Linked DNA regions of Struthio camelus. The protein of the gene in region 1 interacts with the protein of each later gene in a biochemical or structural test. Links are inferred from orthologs where the notes say so. Each region holds a gene or a part of one and is shown on either strand. Other genes may lie near its edges.

What was found.
Region 2: the proteins of MYH9 (region 1) and S100P interact in a biophysical measurement, tested with the Homo sapiens proteins (2 studies listed by IntAct). The link is inferred for Struthio camelus from reciprocal best matches to the Homo sapiens genes MYH9 and S100P.

Annotation. Positions count from the first base shown.
Region 1 is NC_090942.1:59,388,586-59,392,505, reverse strand, and holds the start of MYH9 (myosin-9), read right to left. Parts: upstream 3,046-3,920; 5' UTR 2,873-3,045; intron 1-2,872. UniProt on the Homo sapiens protein: Cellular myosin that appears to play a role in cytokinesis, cell shape, and specialized functions such as secretion and capping. Required for cortical actin clearance prior to oocyte exocytosis. Promotes cell motility in conjunction with S100A4.
Region 2 is NC_090945.1:74,099,674-74,103,593, reverse strand, and holds the start of S100P (protein S100-P), read right to left. Parts: upstream 2,542-3,920; 5' UTR 2,470-2,541; coding exon 2,332-2,469; intron 1-2,331.

The DNA.
Region 1 (3,920 bases):
CCCTGGGAACCCTCTCTGAATCCAGCTGTTTAAATTTCAAACTAGAAAACGACCCCTCCCTTTCTCACTCATACCTCCTACTAGCTGGAGCTGTGATGCAAGAGAAACGTCTGCATTTGTGATGTAGCGGGTTTCAGGGAGAAATGGGTTGGAGAGTCACCAGCATCGGCCATGGGAAACCTATTCCCATCTGGTCGTGATACTACTGAGAACCGGAAGAAAAAAAGAAAGGAAAACCAAACAAACAAAAAAAAAATCCCAGTGTTGTTTGTTGGACACAAGTGAGTGTGTGAAAGGCTGCAGCTGGCAAATCTGGTGCACAAACTGAGTCTGTTACAGATCCTTTTGCCTCTGAACATGCTCCAGAGTCCCCCAAAAACTCTGGCAGAGCAGCCAGTGTACGTATTGGGTTCTTACACATTTCAAGGCTGTTCAAACCATTCAGCTGAATTGCCCTAGAAACTGGTTACAAATAAAACCAAGCATAAGCATGCTAAAAATGTCACTGTCATCAGATAAGGCTGCTATGCACATACCATTCCTGACACAAGCTCATTAAAGCTAGGACATGAAAAGTTAAGCCACCAGATCACATGTGTATGGTGGCTGGGGTGGGGGAGTATGGTGAGCAGGGCTTCAGACTGCATTTTTCTTTCTGGGCCTGCCACCAGTCTGTAGGGCATCACCCCTGTGTGACTCAGTTTCCCTCGATGGGGAAGAAAAGAGGGATGTTGCGGCACCCACCTCCTTTTGAGATGTCGGAAATGCTTTGGGAAGCAACAGCAGATTGGGAGGCAAGGGATTAGCCACTCTACTTAGGAGCTGTGAAAGGCTGGTGTTTCAGAGGACAGAGCACACGCTGACTGCCAGCCCTCAGAGATCCTTACCAAACAGTCATACTTAGCACTCCAGGAGGTAGTTATCTATATTTTATAGGAGCGGAAACAGCAGCACAGCCAGCTTCCTCTATAATACAAGTCCCAGAAACACAGGGCTGAGTGAGCTAAATGCTTACCACATGGTCTTACTATTGTCAGATACTCAGGTTTAGTCAGAGGTACACAAGCTGCCAAATTTAATGAACTTCAATACCATGTACAGAGCTTTTATGGTTCTCAGGCCAAATATTTTAAGAGGCAAGACAGAAAGCATCCAGAGGGTGCAGGAGTTATGGGAATGGTTCATAGGTAGGACTCCTGTCCTTCCCCCCTCCCCATGGGAGGCACCAAGGCCAGGCACACACAGACATGCACTGAGACCCAAAGGTGTTGGCCACAAGACACTGACTGGCTCGTGTCCTCCTGTAGCTGTGATTTCAGATTACCCTGCATCTTCATCTGCTGTGTCCCAGCACAGCACCATCTCTCCTGAGCTTACCACAACAGCCACCTGGAACTGCTCACAGGTGGCATATGGCTCAAGAAAGAGAGGCTGTGCACCCTTTCCTTGAGACAAGTAACTTGGATTAGGTTAACCTAGAATGATGGAACGTCACATTCCTTCTCACCCTAACAAAGATCAGGGCTGTTGTTTGATGATTGCTCTAAGCCAGCTCAAGTTTGGGCAGCCCCCAAAAGAGGAATTCCCCTTCCCTCCTATTCTGCTTCCTCCTCCAATATTCGCACTCCCACTGCCAGCCCTAGATCACACAATCAGCTGATTGAGCTGGAAACAAATATAAACCAAAAGAATGAGAGATGTTTCCAGCTGGATCACTTTCTTGGCCCAGTTGACTAGCTAGGTGCCAGAGAGACGCTGGGAAGGCACATCTGTGAGAGGGATTATTCAGTGGCAGCCCAGACATAGGCTGGTCAGAAACAATCAGGGAATCACAGTCCAGGAGAAACCAGAAAACCCCTTTTGCAGTGACACCATGAATGAATTCACTCCATCTGCACAGGGGTCACAGGGGTTGTTATAGCATATCAGATGCAAGTGGTTGTGATCAGCCTCTGCATTAAGGAAACTCTGTTGTCAAACATGTAGGACTGCCAAAGTCATAGAGTCATTTAGTGCGGAAGGTAACACTGGAAGTCTCTAGTCCAACCAACTGCTTGGAGCAGGGCTAGTTTCAGAGTTAGATCAGAGTGCTTCACCAGGTCCAGCCGGGCTATGAAACCAAGCATGGTGATTCCACGATCTCTGTGTTGTTGCCTCTTGTCCTTTCGCTGAGCACCTCTGACAAAAGTCTGACCTAGCTTCTCTATCACCCGGCTTTGGGTAGTAGAAGGTGGTTAGATCCCTTCCCCCTCCTAACTTTCTCCTCTCTAGGCCAAACAAACCCAGCTACCTCAGCCTCTCCTTATAGAGCAGATGCTTTAGCCCCCTAGCCAGCTTACTGGTCCTTCCCCGGAGTTGCTCCAGTTTGTTAATCTCTTTCTTTCAAATGCAAAGGACCATCCTGAAACAGCCTGAGGAACTGTCTGTCTCACTTCCTGGAGAAGAACAGGTGTCTCCACCTACCTGTATAAGCACATATCTTTGTGAGTGCATTTGTTGAGGTGGGGGGGGAGGGGGGTGTACACAGTACCCGTGTTCCTGTGTGTGCATGCTAAGTGTGTTGGAGGCATGGTCACACAGTGAGAGCCAGTGCACCTACCTATCACGTAAATACTGTCTCAGAAGTTCAGCTAATAAAAGTGGGTGCAAATTCACTGAAGTTTGTGGAGCCATGCTGGTTTCTGGAGCAGAGTTTTACTGCACATACACTGCGTGAATGCCTTCTGTGAGTGCACCCAGGGACACCTGTGTATCATCCTTCTCCTTCAGTTGCTCTGTACCCTAGCAAACATGGATCCTCCTTCCCATTGTTACCAGAGAAGATGTTTACAGTCAGGTCTAAATCTGGTCAGGTAGCTTCTCAATTACTCACCTCTCAGTTATTATTCTGCTTCAGTAACTCTGAGGCTCAGGGAAACAAGGTGTACCAGGCAGTAGCTAGGACTGGAAGACAAAAGGCAGGACGACAGAAATCATGTTCTGCTCTGGCGATGTTGCCGGAGGGCAATGCATCACTGCCATGATGTCATAACTGTGAGGCACAACCTTTAAAGCATGAAAAAAAAAGAACACCCATTACTCATGGACCAGACAAGCATTTTGAAAGGAGGAGACTGAGAAGGAAGACCTTTACCTGCTTGCTGCCTAGGAACGATGGTAGGCAAAATGACGTATGATTGCAAATCAGTGGTGCCATTTGCAATAGCAGGATCCCCCCTGCACAGACAGAAGAACTGCTAATTGTAGCCTGATGTGCAATCCCTCTGGAGTCTTCATAAAGGATGGGAAATGGGGAAGGTTGAGAAGAGCTCTAGGCTCTGGATCGGGGAAATACATGGCAAAAGGGACCGAGCAGGGATGCAAGACCTCAGATATGAGGCTACCAAATAGGTCATAGACGTGATCTGCAGGCAGGAGGAGGGAGGCAAGGACAGGGCATCTCTGCACTGTCAGCTGAGTGTGCAGCTCAGCTTCCGCCTTACAAAGCCAGAAGCTCTGTGAAGAGGTGTACCTCCCCAGATGGAGGACCTGAGGCACTTCAGTGCAGGCCAAACTCTTGTTTGTGCAGTCTGGACAGATTAGGCAGGGTAGGGCCAAGCCCAGACCAGTAGCTGCCTTGTGTAAGGCACGGGCATGGGTCCTGCAGTGCTAAGTTACAGACCAGGGAAGAGGCAGCAACAGAAAGAGAAAACCTGAGGGTGCCGGTTCTCAGCTGGCCACATCCTTTCCTCATTTTGGAGCAGGAACATAGCCATCAAGCCTCTGTGTTAAGGGTCTTTGGTGCTGCAGTCCCATGATGCTGGAATATTTGGCAGAGAAGGATGAGGGATACTGGGTAAAGACCTCCTTGGCGTTCAGAGCCAAGCCAGAGCTGTGGACTTACAAAGAAGAGGAAGAAAATAAAAGAGGTCTCCTATGGG
Region 2 (3,920 bases), on another chromosome or scaffold:
CACCGATTTTGGAAAATGCAGTTTTTGATAATAAACAGGGGGTGGCAGCAGAGACCTATGGAATACAGGAAACCACTGCCCTGTGGGCTTTGTTGAAGCTAAAGAAAAAAATAAATCTGATATTACGGTAGGAAGAAGTTAAATAAACTTTTGGAAATATTCCCGGAATTTAGAATAATGACTACCTTGACTGAAATCTGAAGGCTCTACTGGATCACAGGCTAATTAACTAAGTTTCTGTGTTATGTAATTTCATGTTTCACTTAAGAAAAAAAAATGCATCTTTGAAATCACTAAAAATTGAACCATTGCCTAGATTTGATTGATGAATGTATCTGAAAGGTTTTTGTTCCTTTTCAGTTTACAAGTGCATATTTACAGTCATTTAGCTACTTGCATGAACTAGTTTTAGCTTCTGAATTGCTTCTGAAATGTAACCCGCTAATTATTCTATGTAAACACTTAGTAACTTAGTCCAATAGTTTAGGCCAATGTATGGATTTATTTCTCCTCCTGATCACGAATTAGGAAATTCTGATTCTGACTGAAGCTCATAAAGAGCTTTCTAGGTAGTTTGCTCTTTTCAGGTATAACGTTTTCTAAACCACAAATATAGATGAGCATTTAGAGGATCCTGTCTTTCTTGTTGAAAAAAAATATATATATATACATACACACACACACACACACACACACACATATATGAAAGTCTTTAAAAAGCAGGTAAAATGGTCATTTTTTTGGTGAAGTCAGACTTATATTCTCAGTCACGCCCTGCATGTAGTTATTGGCCCACAGGACAGAACATCGTTCTTTTAAATTTATTTTAACTGCTAACATAAAATGTTATTTGGTGTTATTTGTTCTCTAGAATATGTAGAATACAAAAAGGAAGTAAGGGAGGCAGAAGCCAGAGCATAAAAGGACATTTAGCTAATTACCTCCTTGGGAAATTCCAGTACTTTCTGCTGTTTCAGGAAATAAATAGAAGTAATAAAATCAGTCATGTGGAAATAAAAAAAAAGTGGTGCCCGACCAGTAGACATATTCAGGAATGACCTTGGAGAGTTATCCCATCTGGTAGCCATTTAGGGCAGTGGCTCCCCAACTTTTTTTAGATCAAATGTCTAAAAAAAGACTAAAGTTTCTAAAGTGTCTCGTGGATTTCCATGCACCCTTACAATTAGTTGTTTTTTGGGTGGCGAGGGCAGGTTGGTTTTTAACTGAAAGCACTACAAAAACAGGATGACCGGGAGCAAGATACTTACCATGACGCTTCTGAGTCACAGTCACCGATCTATTTTCTATGTTTTCAGAGACATTTTCATGTAACTACACAGAGCCATCTGGATTCTTATTCTGTATATTGCATCTGTATTTAATTAATGAGTCATAAATCCAACAGGCGTACATGTCGTACAGCGAACTCTACTGCTTGTGGCTCTACTGCTTAGTATCATGGAAAGATACTAAATTGTATGAACTACCTTTGCTGTAGTGCTCTAACATAGTTAGAAAATTCAGTTTTTCTGGATACGTAAAGTGGTGTCCGCACTTGGAAGATTTGGTCCTAGACTTTTGCAAGTAAGGAGAATAATTTCACAGATAGATAAATACTACTCCTGTGTAGAAAGAACAGGACTCCTAAACCATTTTCTAGGTTTTTAGTGAAGGAAAGCAAATAAAAAATGACTGAAAATGAAAGGCATTTTGTCTCCCCAGTAACTAATCATTTACTATAATATATTAAGAGGTTTGAATACCTGTCTAGAGAAATTTAGATATAAATATTGAAACCATTTAAATGTACATGATGATTACAGAGAAATCTATTATATAAAATAGTTTCTCAGGTCTTTCTTTTAAGATTAAAGACAATTGCTAAACAATCTGCTCTTATTCTTGTTTATATATCATTTTGGTGTGCATACTGGTGTAACGGAAACACTTAGAGAGATTTCCCCACTGCAATCAAGATCCTCAGTTGTTGACAACAAAACCACCTTCACAGCACTTGCAACATCATCTAAGATTATACACCCAGGAATAAACAGAAGTAGATGAATTCTGAAAATGAAAAATAATCTATTTCAAAGCCATTTTCCTGATAACTTGAGTGATGAACTCGGTGAACTGGGGCTGGCCCTGAATATTAGAATCAATTTTACACGGTATGCTCAAAGCCTTTTCTTCTTCAAATGATGTACTTAAAGTTCCTGCAAACCATTGTAGCTTTCTGGATGGAGTTCCCTCTGCAATGTGCTGACCACTGCGTCTGCGTGTAGCTCTCGCGCTTATACAGAAATGATGCTGAAGTGTTTGTTATCTTACCGAGAGGAAATTAGGTAGCTCTTTTTCCAGGAGAGTCTTTAGTTCTGCTTTGGTGAGAGTCTGCGGATTGCCTTGAGTCTTCGCGTACTTGTCAAAGACGGCAATGGTCATTCCCATTGCGGTTTCCAGGTTGGACATGTTGCCGCTAGAGTCTGGCCGTCTCCTTCACGTGAATAGCCTCAGACCTCTTTTGGAGGATGGAGGCTAGCCTTGTTCTGAGGTGCTTTATGCAACTGTCGCATCCAATGGTCCCACGAGGAGGACCGTTATCAGCTAGCAAATATCCGTATCTGAGCACCACTCTTTGTCACATTGCAGTACATGCCTTTGTAATGATATCGATTCAAAATTCAAGCTTTATCAGTTTGGTGTGGCTGGTACAGCCAGTTGCTCACCCGTAAGAATCCAGCCTCTCCTTCAAGGTACACAGCATGACTGAAAAATGAAAATCAAACAGGTAGCCTGACTTCAGAAGAGTATACATTAGCCTGCTAAGGAGGAACAGGAGTGTCTCATTTCTCCCTCGCTACCATAACTAGGGGCTCTGGGACCTTTTCTGAACTGAGAACAGCCACGGACTCCCTCTCTGCCCTGAGGGGAAACTTATCTCAGACTGGATGGGTCACTAAGCAGACACTGGGGGTGAGATTCACCTGATGAGAAGTAGAAGTCTGCCATGCAGATGCCTGAGTTAGCGCCCTGGGCTTGTACTGGGGGTACAAGCTGACGCTTCAGGTTCAGCTCACTCCAACATGGATGTCCAAAACAGGTCTGACGAACCAATGCCTCTCCCATGACGATAAAGGGAGCCTTGAGTGACTTGCTCAGATGAGGACATCTGAACCAACAAATCCGCCCCCTGAACACTGGGCCAGTATCAAGACTCATCTTGATCTGTGATGAAATAACTTGTTATTGATCCCATGCAGCATCGAACCTTGCAATAAAATTCACTATACTGAAAACAAAAGGTCACTTTGACATTCTGTCATCCTCTGTGGCTCCTAATCAACCTTGCGATTCGCTTGAAAACAGTGGTCCCTAGCACTGTTTTCCAGCATACCAAGCAAACCAGACATTGCTCCTCCGGGAGCTCTGTTGCGTCTCTGTGTTGGTAGCTGAGTGTTAGGTGGGAGGTGGTAGCTCAGGTGATGGAAGCTGATGAGCTACCGCTACAGAGTTTTGCACAAGTTAAAATTTCTCATCAAACACCAAGGTAGCTCAGCTGCCACCCAGCTCCAAGAACTTGCACTAGACCTGGAGAAGCTCGTTTAAGGTGAGTTACGTCTACACCTGAGTCTGCAGAGTGGACATACTCTGAGGAAATGATTTGGGGGAACCTAGCAAAACTAGGGCATTATGCATGAGGAGGAAGCGGCTGGACCCCAAGAGGAAGTGTTCGCTCTAGAAGATGCATTACCTGACTATGCATTACCAAAATTCAACCTGAGTTGGGATGTCTTCGCACATGCCTCTATATGCTTGAAGGTAAGTTTCCACTTTCGTCATGCTAGAGAGAGGTTAGCAAAAACTTGTTTTTAATTGCAAAAAATCTAAAAAATTAAACTCCTTCCTCACAGATGTCTAGA